Linked DNA regions of Arabidopsis thaliana. The protein of the gene in region 1 interacts with the protein of each later gene in a pairwise test. Each region holds a gene or a part of one and is shown in the gene's direction. Other genes may lie near its edges.

Region 1 (4,574 bases):
GATCCAAGCCATTAGTAACCTCTCTATGGCCATAAGTGACCTTAAGAGAGACCAACCTCGTGAAAGGATCAAGAACATCTCCAACAACACTGCCGACCACAAGAGGATCTCTACGACTTAAAGACATATTTATCTTGGATCTCAAGTATCTCAATCAAATGTTTTGCTTCTTACCTTATGAACCCTTACTTGCTATTCTTTATATAACGTTTTGGGAATTGCAATAATTAGCTATTTAGCTTTATTCTCTCCAATGAAATCATTACCAGGGTCTTTTCGTGTATAGTTTCGAGAATCTACAACTCGTTCAACGTACGTATATCACTTATAATTCATGTTTTTTTTTTCTTTCCTTTTTTCTAAATTTATAGTATTCTTATTCCAAAACCCACCAGTATAAAACAGAAATAATCATATTCCAAATTATACATCATCCACTTGTTTCTTGCTAGCCACTAGTATGTAATTTATTCTGACTTATCATTGTAACTTCATGAACTATTTAAAATAATGTCACAAGCATATAATATGCTGCATATTTGCGTACGTCACGCATTTTGCGTCACATGTCACTCATTTAAATAGTTAAGGACACTACATTACACCGATTATGTATGATGTTAATGCATTTTAGAATAACTCCTTCAACCTAAACCATCATATAAAAGTATATATGCTCCAGATAAATTGACGCCATAATTGTTCACATATCTGGTTGGTGTGTACATACGTACTAGACTCTTTTTTTTCTTTTCTTAATGTAGTACTAAACTTAATTAATACCATCAAAAATATCAATTTAACAAAACAAACCAGTAAAACTTTTAAAACAATGGAGTAAATCAAATAAAACAAGTAAATTAACAAATAGACACAAGGTAACAGAAGTATAATAACGACAGAAAAGTGAACAATTGGCCAAAAAATTCGTTTTCAAACGTGATTTCAAAATTGTCTCCAAATCTTAAATGTTGATAAAGTAATTTTTTTAAAATTCATTATACCTTTCAAAAACAAGTGTATTACCTAAAAGCTCAACCGTGTATTCTTACACTCCAAACAAATTTAGTTCCCCAAGTTTGGAAGACAAAAATTTCTAAGAAATTTCTGACAAAACACATGAGAAATAAACCGATAAAGACTTCTAAAAACTATTGCAGACCAGTTTCATTTGCTGACCACAAAAAGTCATGAGAATACAATTAGCTCAGTGATTCTTGATATTTCTGGTACCTAACAAAAAGAAAAGTGTGTGAGGTTAGATGGCTATGATTTTTGCTCTCCAATTTATTGTCCATTTCCCCAATTTGTAATATGAAATGCGCAAATTACTCTTCTTCCGATATGAATAAGCAAACGAAAACATACGTGGGACGTTATGTTCAGAACATTTGATTAAAGTTTATATGCGATTTTCATTTATTTATTATGAATTTTTTGTTTGGCAGCATGTACGATTTTTCATTTAACACACAAATATTATAGAATTTTCATTGGTTCAAAGGGGTAGACAAAAAATAATTTAATATTATTACACCATTTGCAGAAAATTAGAAAATATATTTTTACCCATAATTAATTGATCTATGGACGTATGCTTGGCATAAAAATTCATATTTAATTAGCAGAAGCCAATCGCTGCGTTTGTATATACGCGTTTATGACCGAGAAAAAAACCCTTACGCGTCATGTAAAAAAAAAAGAAGCGTAAATTACGAAAAACAGAGAGATAAATCCGGGCATTGAGATTTTGGAGATAGAGAGAGAGAAAAATCGAAATCTATTGTCTATCTCCTCAATTTGGATTGGATTTTCTGCATATCATCGCTCTAGCTTTCGCGGGTTTTGGATTCGATTCCTTACCCTTCTCCAATCGGTAAGAACAAGCTCCAAAGTTTGTTCCTTTTTTTCAATTTTCGCCAATTCTGTAATCTCATCATTGTCCTTGTTTGTTTGTTTGATTCAACACACAATTCTTGTTTTGATTTGGATGCAGAAGTTTTTGGCTTTGAATTGGATTTGGGTTTCGTTCCAAAATCAGCTCTTTTTGTTAATCAGGTGAGTTTTTAGGTATTTGAATCTCCAATTGCTTCCTTGCAATGACTAAGTATTGTGAAATGTTTAGGGTTTCATCTGTGTGGGTCTTGTTTTGAAGCAATTTGTGTGTGTTTGGATGAAAGTAGCAGATATGCAGGACCAGCTGGTGTGTCATGGTTGTAGGAATTTATTGATGTATCCTAGAGGAGCATCTAATGTGCGTTGTGCGTTATGTAACACTATCAACATGGTTCCTCCTCCTCCTCCACCTCACGGTATCGATTTCTTTGTTGAATTTGAATTGAGGATGAGGTTAATATGCTCTGCAATTGTATTATAACTTGGGTTCTGATTCTGAATACAGACATGGCACACATTATATGTGGTGGTTGTAGAACAATGCTTATGTATACGCGTGGGGCTAGTAGCGTAAGATGCTCTTGCTGTCAAACTACGAACCTTGTGCCAGGTATATTAATAATATCGTGACATCCATATCAATCCTTTTAAAGACCATGTATTATATTGCTTTATAAGGTCTTTTAGTCCTTTAGAATCTTCTTTCACACTTTTGTTTGATAACATTGTTCTGTGGAGATGATGCTTACGTAACGTATTTCCACTTTTCCCAAAGATGTATATGAATCTGAATTCTGAAAATATCTGGGATTTGTAAAGCAGCTGAAAGTACTTAAAACAAAGCTTTTAGATGGTCCCGGTGGACTAGGTAACTACTTGTTAGAGCTAGTAGGGTTTATTATTGTTTTGTTTGATCTACCATTAGATTCTTATCTTTAATTAGCGTCTAAGCTGTTGTCATTTAGCTGTATGATTATCATTTATCCATGACTGCTTAAGAACATTGCTGATTACTTCGTTCATTAGTATTTCTTGGATTTTTCTAGCATTAACATTGCTTGTTTTCTGAATCTGTGCGTGTCTTTTTTGAAATCGACAGCGCACTCCAATCAGGTTGCCCATGCTCCTTCCAGTCAGGTTGCGCAGATCAATTGTGGGCATTGTCGGACGACCCTCATGTATCCTTACGGTGCATCATCCGTCAAATGCGCTGTTTGTCAATTCGTAACTAACGTTAATGTGATTATTCCTATCTATTAAGCCACCTCTGCATGGTTGAGTTAAGTATAGAGATCTTTCTGTTGGAAATTTTCATTTCTGATTCATTTTGCATCCTTAGATGAGCAATGGAAGGGTACCTCTCCCAACTAACCGGCCAAATGGAACAGCTTGTCCCCCCTCTACATCAACTGTGAGTTATCAAATTATGAATTTGTAATAGTTCTGTATATTCTTATGGAACTGGTACTTACTCTGTTCATCGATTTTTCATTTTACCAACAGTCAACACCACCCTCTCAGACCCAAACCGTTGTTGTAGAAAACCCCATGTCCGTTGATGAAAGCGGAAAGTTGGTGAGTATTTCTATCACCTGTGTTCTTCTTCTTATTTACCACATTAGAGGAAGATATGACAAAGTGACTGAAACACACAAATTGCAGGTGAGCAATGTTGTTGTTGGAGTGACAACTGACAAAAAGTAATCAAGAATGAGTGAGATCTTAAAGATCAAATCCAAATTCTTCCTCTATTCCTGCGTTTGGTTTGTGCATATTACATACGCGGAAAAACTGTATGTTATATATCTCTTGACTCCTTTTTAACCCAAGAGAAAAAGCTTATCAGAATCTCTTGTTACTGCATTATTGGGGTTTATTCAAAGTTGAAGACACAAGGTTTTTGCTCGAATAATTTGGCATTCTTTTGCTCCATGGAACTTGACCTTCTCTTCTGTTTGTTGACTTCTAAAACTCCATCGGCCCTTGTGGCATTGTTAATGTATGTATGAATATAATCTGATACACCAACCAATCATTAAGATTTGGGTTTGAAATCTGTCTCTTCCGTGGATGAGATATGCTACATGTCACAAGAACTGGTCTTAGCTTTGGTAGATAAGACTTGTCTTAGAGCAAGTCTTGAAATCTGGAAATCTATTTTGCAGTAATCTTGTCACAACAACCATAACCTAATCAGTCAGTACCCTCCAAGAACATTAAAGTTAGATGATCCGACAAAACCTCTCAACAAGACCAAACTCTTTCCATATAAATACTCTTTAACACTGACACAAAGTTTCATCACTTTCTCTTGATCACTCACTGCATCAACAATGGCCAGAGAGAAGATTGTGGTGGCTGGTGGTACCACAAAGAGCTGGAAACTACTCTTGGGGCTGAGAATATTTGCATTCATGGCTACTTTAGCTGCAGCCATTGTAATGTCACTAAACAAAGAGACAAAGACCTTGGTTGTGGCCACCATTGGTACTGTTCCTATTAAAGCCACTTTAACCGCTAAGTTTCAGCACACACCGGCTTTTGTGTAAGCGAGTAAAACCCTATACGAAATCGATTCGATACATATTGAAAGCAAAATGTTTTTGAGTTATTAACATTGATTCTTGGTTTTACAGGTTCTTTGTTATAGCTAATGTAATGGTGAGCTTCCACAACTT
Region 2 (5,828 bases), on another chromosome or scaffold:
CATCCCTGGTGGTTCATCTGTTCCTCTGATCCCTAAGAACATTTGCGAGGATGTGCTGATGGATTTCGATGCGCTCAAGGCTGTCCAATCAGGGTTAGGAACTGCAGCAGTCATTGTGATGGATAAATCAACCGATGTTGTGGATGCAATTGCAAGGCTCTCTTACTTCTACAAGCATGAAAGCTGTGGGCAGTGCACTCCTTGCAGAGAGGGAACAGGTTGGCTTTGGATGATCATGGAGAGAATGAAAGTTGGCAATGCAAAGCTGGAAGAGATTGATATGCTGCAGGAGGTAACCAAACAGATCGAAGGACACACAATCTGTGCATTGGGTGATGCAGCTGCATGGCCTGTGCAAGGTCTGATAAGACACTTTAGGCCAGAGCTCGAGAGAAGGATCAGGGAACGCGCTGAAAGGGAGTTGCTACAGGCTGCTGCTTAAGTACCTTGTTAACCAGAGGTTTGCATCTCCAGTCCTTGCTCTTTTAATCTTCTGTTGCAAACTTAAAAGCTGAGGTCTAGAGTTTACGCAGCCTTTTAGAATGTATTTGTGACAAGGTAGACTGCTCTGTATCTAATTTCTTTGGGCATTTCAAGAACTTGAGCCGTAATGAACAGTTAGTTTCCGTAACTATCTTTCTGCTCTATCCCTGTCTTACAAAATTGATGTTTTTGCAGGGAGTTTGCTATTATTCTCCATGGAAATAAAATCTGAATGAACAACTAGTAACGGTTTTGGGATGCAAAGCTACTTCAGAAGGAGAAGAAGGTAATGTAATTTGTTTGAATGGTTAATGTTAAAACTCTCTTAAAGTTGTATCAGAAAGAGCGCGATTTGCTCTTTTGCATTACTCTACTTTCTTTATTGTTTGCTTGTTATGTTTATTCGAGTATGAAAGCACATTTTGGGAACAACCAAAGAAACCCTTTTCATGTTTGAAATAAAGAATGCTCCTTTTTGGGTTTATAAGTAGTTCACATAGCAAATAAATTATAAATCAATGTTTCTTTTTGGCATTTTCTGAAAAATATCTCTAGGATATAAATTGGTATATCATTGTTCTGTATACAACTTGATATGATAGTCCAAAATTAGTTTTTTTGGATAATGTATAACCAAAATGTGATTAGTCCCAACTTGATTTCGTAAAATCAAACAAAGTAGAAATCATCTTAAAACTATAAACTAGAAATTTCTAAATGGAATAACTTAAAGAATAAAATGAAATGGAAGTGATATATATATTCGCATTGAAATGGAGAAAGAGAGAAAAAGGAAAAGAGATAAATGAAGGCAAGGAAGACCTGTGAGGGTGATGGGGACCGGTCTGATTGGATATTATTTTTGGAGGATATTTATGGATAAGACGTCAACATCTTCCCTAACTTCTTTGTCCACCTCTCCCACCTTTTTCCCCCCTTTTCCAATTTCTTTACTTAATCGATAGAACTACTGAATCAACAAGTTGTTGTATGATGAAATTACATAATCACATATTTGCATAACTCGGAAAGTCGTCATATAGGCAATTAGCATCTTTGTTGTTTTCGATTTTCGATATGAGCTTAAGTTTGAACAATGTTTACAAATAGTTTGATATAGTATTTCATTGCCTTTTATAATCACCGTACAAATAATTATTATTCATCAATGATTGCCTCCCCAAATGTCACCAAAAGAAAAATCTAGTCACATGCGAAAGCATTATGAAAGTGAAAAAAGAAAAAACTGATATGAAATTACCAACGATGAGGAGTAGCAGTAATAAAATACATATGGCATAATTTGGTCAACAAGGAAATTCCAATATGAATTGGAAGTGTAACAAATAATAAAAGAGTCAACAATACCAAAAATAACAACAGCGGACTTGAGCTGTGAAAACTGTTGCTTATGGTTTTTATTCACTGTTTCTTTGTTTTGAACTTCCCCTTCCTTTAACAATGGCGTTTTGACCCCTCCCTATCTCTCTCTCTCTCTCTCTCAGTCTTCTGGGTTTTTCCTATTCCTCTTTCTCTCTCTCTCCTTCAAGTTGCTGCAATCCCTTGAAAACCCAATAAACCCCCAATTTTCCATTTCTCATAAAGTTCACATTTTTCCTTCTTCTTCTTCTGCCAATTCTCTGATTCCCTCGTTTCAATCTCCGTTTTGCTTTGCCTATCAGATAAATTTCTTCTTGCTTTCCTTTCTATCTCATAACGATAAGTTGAATTAATCTTTGCGTCTTAGTTCATCAGTAGAGAGAGTAGGGTTTTTTCCGCTTATTTTTAGGGAATTTCATTTTGTTGGAGGTGAGAATCTCTATTCGAGTCCCCAAGATTCTCTTTATATCCCTAGTTTAGTTGTATGGTTGGGTTTTGATTGGAATATCAAGGGGTAGTTTTTAGCTAGGTTCACTGATACTTGGAAGATCTGAGTTCTTTGGGATTCTGTTAAGTTTGTGGAGATCTAAAAGACACGAAATTTGTAGAAATCTGGTTGATATCCCAGACTTTTAGAGGGATTAGGGTAGATTCTATAGAATTTGAGGCGGGTTTGATTGGAATTATGACGGTGGAGGAAGTTAGTGATGGTTCTGTGTGGAGTAGGGAGGATGATATTGCCTTTGAGAGAGCTCTAGCCAATAATACCGATGAATCAGAGGAACGGTGGGAGAAGATTGCTGCAGACGTTCCAGGCAAAAGTGTTGAACAGATTAAAGAACATTACGAGCTTTTAGTTGAAGATGTTACTAGGATTGAATCAGGATGTGTGCCTCTTCCTGCCTATGGGTCTCCTGAAGGATCGAATGGCCATGCTGGTGATGAAGGAGCAAGTAGTAAGAAAGGAGGTAACAGTCATGCGGGAGAGTCTAACCAAGCAGGTAAATCAAAGTCCGATCAAGAACGACGAAAGGGTATCGCGTGGACAGAAGATGAGCACAGGTGAACTTTGTTTATTTTTGCTGCTAATCAGTTTCTGATTCTTCTTATTCTTTTATGATTCTTTCCAAATTATGTTTGTTCTGTGCTCCATGTCTTCATTGTGTTCTAGAACATTAATATTATTTCTCTTAAGTGACAATTTTGGTACTCTTGGGTGTCTAATTCTGTGAACCTTTAAGACATCAAGAGTTTTCAAAGTCATACTGTAGTTAGAAGCAATACCTTCACTGGAACTTTTAGGTCCTTGGTCTCCTATCTGATACTTTAAATTAAAAAAGGATGAATTGAGTTTTTTTTAGGGGGCACTGACCCGAGGTTACTCTAGAGGATGCTTGAAAGAAAAGTAGAGATTTCTTGAAGTGGTTTTAGTTTCGTGATTGTTTTAAAAGTCTCAGATGTTATTGGAATTATAACTTGGCATGGGACAGAGAAAGCTGTTCTCATAAATTCGCTTTACCTCCCTGTCCTAGTTGCTATATCATTACATCCACCATGTTAGAGATGATGGAGAGATGCTATCTAACCCCCGGGACCATTTTGACCATCTTTTTCCACCACTTGTTGAAGCTAGATGCTGTTTTACATGGTGAAACAGTCCATCCAACCTCTGTTATTGGAGGAACCCCACCTTCCTTTTAGAAAGAGACAAAAAAATCTTACTTTGAAGTTTAGTCTTCATTTTTCTCTCTTGAAGATGCAAGTGGTTTTGGGACCTTATTAGGGTAGATAAGGCGTAAAAACTAGAGTTAAGTATATAATGGTTATATTAGTGGCATATAATTAGTTACTGGACTGTTTTCTCACTTGCCAAAGATATGGGAAACTGATGTAACAGTAAAATCTATCTTTGTTGATTGAATGTTTTGCTGGGAGAGTTAAAAAAAATGCTTATCTGTCTGATTGAAACCTTTAAAAGAGATTCTTACACCATTTTTATAAACTTGTGTTTTCGCCATTATCTTGATCTACTCCCGTGTCATCTTGATAATTTGGTGGTTTACATGTGCTTTTTCGAGAAATTGGATTTTGGCGGTGATAGAAGAACCTCCTGGACAAGAAATCACGAGGTTCATTTTCAAATACGTTGTACGGGTGTTTAGAAATGTCTTTCCTGCTTAGTTAGGAGATTAAAATCCAGTGGAGAAGCAATTTAGAAGTAGGGTTCTGTATACTTGTGTGGCATTCTATCTGCAGATTAGCTGTTGAGGTAGATGCAAGACAAGACCTTACTGTGTTACCTGCAATTGGTTTTAGACTGTTTCCGTTTAGCAGTGGTTTGTGTGTTTTCATCTTTGAGACTATGGCCTGGAAGTTTCTGCCCTTTTGGTTATGCAGCGATTCTAATGAGCTGTTGTCTGTCTTTTCTATGTTACAGGTTATTTCTTCTTGGTTTGGATAAGTACGGGAAAGGTGATTGGCGTAGCATTTCTCGCAACTTTGTAGTAACAAGAACACCGACCCAAGTTGCGAGCCATGCTCAAAAGTATTTCATTCGTCTAAATTCAATGAACAAAGACAGAAGGCGATCAAGCATTCACGACATCACTAGTGTTGGCAACGCAGATGTCTCAACGCCACAAGGACCAATCACTGGTCAGAACAACAGCAATAACAACAACAACAACAACAACAACAACAGTTCTCCTGCTGTTGCTGGAGGAGGAAACAAATCAGCCAAGCAAGCCGTCTCTCAAGCACCACCTGGACCTCCTATGTATGGAACACCCGCCATAGGTCAGCCAGCAGTTGGAACACCAGTGAACCTCCCAGCTCCACCTCACATGGCTTATGGAGTTCATGCGGCTCCAGTCCCTGGCTCAGTGGTTCCTGGTGCAGCAATGAACATTGGTCAAATGCCGTACACCATGCCGCGTACACCAACGGCTCATAGGTAACTCGAAAGCACCTTTGCTGTCATAGTGCACTTTGTTTTTAGGTGTAAGAAAGAAGATGTGTAAAGGATTTAGTGAATATTCAAGCTTGTTCCTTGAGTGAGTTTTTTTTATTACTTAGTTTGTGGGGATTTTGTATGAGGTCCGAATAAGATATGAAGATGACATGATTAGTTTCCAGACTCGAGAAGCAAAAATACTCCTGTTTGTATGTGAACACAATAAAGCCTCTGTTATGAGACTTACAACAAAGCAACATTGTATATCTTGTTCTCACATTCAACAATCTCTTTGAATTATCAACTGCAACGTGCAATTCCTTATTTTGAAGTTGTAACTCATTTTGGATCTTGTATAATGATATATACTGTGACAGAAAATTCGTAGTTGAAGAAAAACAGAAGCAGATTACAAAGAATAACATAAGAAATACACAGATATTTTATAGCAAGCACACCCTCTATTAATCACATTTAGGACACATATGATATGCACCTGACATGGAATTTCAAAAGGAATAGTGAAAACCAGTGATAATATCGTCTCAATCCATGTCAGCTTTCTTCAACTATTCCGTCTCATCTCTTCGTGTTCGATCTACCTCGATATCCAACTAGTCTTCTTACTCAATGTGTACCAACGTTCATTTGATTGAACATAGGAATGTAAAGACACCAAAATCACATACAGTTTCAAAAGATTCAGTCATTGTTATTGGCAAAGTGAACAAAACATCTACTTTCATATGCATAGTTGTTCAGGCTGAAGCAAAGAATCAAAGCGACTCTTTTCCAGTTTCATTCTCCTGAAAATCTCCTCAAGAACCTGATAGATCTCATAAGATCTTGGGTGTGATTTATCTTCCACAGTAAATTTATGAACATCAACTCCAACTTCCACAAAATAGCTATATCCAGCAGCCTTTGTCATCGTTTCCTTCTTCATCAACTTCCGCATCCTCAAAACTCCATCCCACTTCTCATTGGCGGCGTAGATATTTGACATGATCAC
Region 3 (3,137 bases), on another chromosome or scaffold:
TCTAGGGACTTTAAAGTTAGAGTCTTGTCATTTGATAACTGAGAAAGGTCTTCAATCGCTTGGATGTTACTCCATGCTTGTTCAAGAACTTGATCTTACTGACTGTTATGGTGTAAATGACAGAGGTAATAGAAAGATATATGTGAACTCAAACCTCCGTTTGTGTTTTAGATATTGTCATCTTTGGTATCTTACGGTTTTTTGTTCCGTTGGGACCGCAGGGCTAGAATATATCTCGAAGTGTTCGAATCTTCAAAGATTGAAACTTGGACTCTGCACAAATATCTCAGACAAAGGGATTTTCCATATTGGTTCCAAATGTTCGAAGCTTCTAGAACTTGATCTATACCGGTACACTTTCTTGGTGGATTCTTGATGAAAAATGTGCAAGACATGTTTCGTTTTCTTACTGATTTCTGGTTTTTGAGTGCAGCTGTGCCGGTTTTGGAGATGATGGTTTAGCAGCTTTATCTCGAGGTTGCAAGAGCTTGAACCGACTCATTCTATCATACTGCTGTGAACTAACTGACACCGGGGTTGAACAAATCCGGCAGCTAGAACTTCTAAGTCACCTCGAACTTCGAGGGCTAAAGAATATAACCGGTGTTGGTTTAGCAGCCATTGCGTCCGGCTGCAAGAAATTGGGTTACTTGGACGTTAAACTCTGCGAGAATATTGATGATTCGGGTTTTTGGGCGCTCGCTTACTTCTCGAAAAACCTACGACAGGTACAAAAAATAACATTTATAGATGGAGATCTGGAAGCATCTATTGGAAACATGTTTGATTCTTGTGTTGTGTGTTTTGTTTGGCAGATAAACTTGTGCAATTGCTCGGTGTCTGATACGGCTCTATGCATGTTGATGAGCAATCTGAGTCGGGTTCAAGACGTTGACTTAGTTCATCTGAGCCGTGTGACTGTAGAAGGGTTTGAGTTTGCTCTAAGAGCCTGTTGCAATAGGCTCAAGAAGCTTAAACTTCTCGCACCTCTCAGATTCTTGCTCTCATCGGAATTGCTCGAGACGCTTCATGCTCGTGGTTGCCGCATTAGATGGGACTGAAAACATAAAGAACAACGCGGTTTCTTGTGTTGGTTAGTTTATACTGTTGTAGGTTTTTGATGTTTATAATCTCAATGTTAAAAATCAGTGAAACTTTAGTAGCGGTTTGTTTTGGATCCATATAAATGAATCGGTTTAAGTGAATTGCTGCGGTAAAATATTTTGCTATAACCGGTAAAAAAGATCGGACAACGCTTAAGTAATGATTTCTAGTTAGAAAGTTGTTGATGTGTAATAGATCTATGTGATGAACTGATGATCATATGTTTTTGAAGTCTAACAGAAAGCTAAACCAATCAGATGCAACATGTAACTCCTTTGTGTTCGAGCAATGATATGAATTATGCTTTCACATTTAACATTTGAAAACATATTTTTTAACTAAATAATTCAAAATAAGTTTTGTACAGCAAAAAATTATCTTGCAATTTTATAGAGAAAATATAGTTTTGTATTTACTTTATTTCTTTTTTCTAACACTATTAATTGGTATAATATATACACTTTAAGTAAAAATAAATCACTTTCTTTTTTCTTCTTATAATAATAACCAAATAATGTTAGTCAAACAAATAATGTTAATATCATTAAATATTCTTAACAATATACTAAATGCGTTAAGATTCATTGTTGTAAAAGTTTACCTGCTTACTATCCCACCATATCTAATCTATGCTTAAGCTTTTCCTTTATATATGCAAATCTTCAAATAAAAAAATAACAAGCCTAGAACACTAGAAACTTCAAAAAAGAAAAAAATCTTATGGAGAACAACAACGGCAACAACCAGCTGCCACCGAAAGGTAACGAGCAACTGAAGAGTTTCTGGTCAAAAGAGATGGAAGGTAACTTAGATTTCAAAAATCACGACCTTCCTATAACTCGTATCAAGAAGATTATGAAGTATGATCCGGATGTGACTATGATAGCTAGTGAGGCTCCAATCCTCCTCTCGAAAGCATGTGAGATGTTTATCATGGATCTCACGATGCGTTCGTGGCTCCATGCTCAGGAAAGCAAACGAGTCACGCTACAGAAATCTAATGTCGATGCCGCAGTGGCTCAAACTGTTATCTTTGATTTCTTGCTTGATGATGACATTGAGGTAAAGAGAGAGTCTGTTGCCGCCGCTGCTGATCCTGTGGCCATGCCACCTATTGACGATGGAGAGCTGCCTCCAGGAATGGTAATTGGAACTCCTGTTTGTTGTAGTCTTGGAATCCACCAACCACAACCACAAATGCAGGCATGGCCTGGAGCTTGGACCTCGGTGTCTGGTGAGGAGGAAGAAGCGCGTGGGAAAAAAGGAGGTGACGACGGAAACTAATAAGTGGAATACGTTTTAGGGTATTTTCAAGGGAATATGTAGTAAATAGTCATGGATCTAATTTTTTTAAAGAAATAGCCATGAGATACAATGTTCTGTCGGAAACACATGTATTATTACATGTATAACCTTAGACATTGAGGGGACAATACACTATTTGGGAGCGTGATGATTCTCGGTTTGAAATTTGAAATATTCAGAAGCTAACATTATATTCATTCTCTCGCACCAAAAGTAATATATGAGAAAATAAAAATCTTGTTTTTTCTTCACACCGCAAAATATCCTCCCAAAATCTAGCGCCGTCGTTGGCGATTGCGTTCACCGTCGGTTACTCTCATCTTCTTCAATCAAGCCCAGAACTTGATTGTCTCCTTGAAACCTTCTTCTCGTTCTTGTCGCCGTTAGCAATCCAAGTATTAATTTCTGATCCTCCCCTTGCCGACGAATCTGGTAAGGTAAGCCATTGATTTTCGTTTATTTATTGCCGATCTTCTTCTATTTCTTCCTCTTTATACTTCAATTGCATAGAAATTAACGATTGTGGCCAGATCTAAAGTTTGGTTCTTTTTCCCCTCTATCTCTATCTTCTTCTATGTCTTCCCATGTATACTTACATAAGTATCCTGCATAGGGTTCTCACCGTTTGTGTCCAGATCTAAGTTTTGATTTTTTTTTATTTATTCTCTACTAACCCTCAATTTTTTCATAATCTCTCTACATGAAGTTAGATAAGGCGAGATCTGGGA

What was found.
Region 2: the proteins of LSD1 (region 1) and AT5G08520 interact in binary tests that used the Arabidopsis thaliana proteins (3 or more experiments, as listed by UniProt).
Region 3: the proteins of LSD1 (region 1) and NF-YC8 interact in binary tests that used the Arabidopsis thaliana proteins (3 or more experiments, as listed by UniProt).

The regions. Positions count from the first base shown.
Region 1 is NC_003075.7:11,002,839-11,007,412, forward strand, and holds LSD1 (LSD1 zinc finger family protein), read left to right. Parts: upstream 1-1,678; 5' UTR 1,679-1,876; intron 1,877-1,996; 5' UTR 1,997-2,058; exon of another isoform or gene 2,059-2,173; coding exon of another isoform or gene 2,174-2,188; coding exon 2,189-2,312; intron 2,313-2,401; coding exon 2,402-2,506; intron 2,507-2,591; coding exon 2,592-2,623; intron 2,624-2,718; coding exon 2,719-2,764; intron 2,765-2,995; coding exon 2,996-3,135; coding exon of another isoform or gene 3,136-3,156; exon of another isoform or gene 3,157-3,235; coding exon 3,236-3,307; intron 3,308-3,399; coding exon 3,400-3,471; intron 3,472-3,558; coding exon 3,559-3,600; 3' UTR 3,601-3,950; downstream 3,951-4,574. Other genes in the region: TSF (PEBP (phosphatidylethanolamine-binding protein) family protein), read right to left, coding at 1-127; AT4G20390 (Uncharacterized protein family (UPF0497)), read left to right, coding at 4,230-4,441, 4,533-4,574.
Region 2 is NC_003076.8:2,754,462-2,760,289, reverse strand, and holds AT5G08520 (Duplicated homeodomain-like superfamily protein), read left to right. Parts: upstream 1-1,749; 5' UTR 1,750-2,548; coding exon 2,549-2,925; intron 2,926-4,300; coding exon 4,301-4,820; 3' UTR 4,821-5,146; downstream 5,147-5,828. Other genes in the region: CI51 (51 kDa subunit of complex I), read left to right, coding at 1-442; AT5G08510 (Pentatricopeptide repeat (PPR) superfamily protein), read right to left, coding at 5,559-5,828. UniProt on the Arabidopsis thaliana protein: Transcription activator that coordinates abscisic acid (ABA) biosynthesis and signaling-related genes via binding to the specific promoter motif 5'-(A/T)AACCAT-3'. Represses ABA-mediated salt (e.g. NaCl and KCl) stress tolerance.
Region 3 is NC_003076.8:9,939,987-9,943,123, reverse strand, and holds NF-YC8 (nuclear factor Y, subunit C8), read left to right. Parts: upstream 1-1,676; 5' UTR 1,677-1,824; coding exon 1,825-2,388; 3' UTR 2,389-2,455; downstream 2,456-3,137. Other genes in the region: AT5G27920 (F-box family protein), read left to right, coding at 1-125, 222-351, 434-728, 816-1,061. UniProt on the Arabidopsis thaliana protein: Stimulates the transcription of various genes by recognizing and binding to a CCAAT motif in promoters.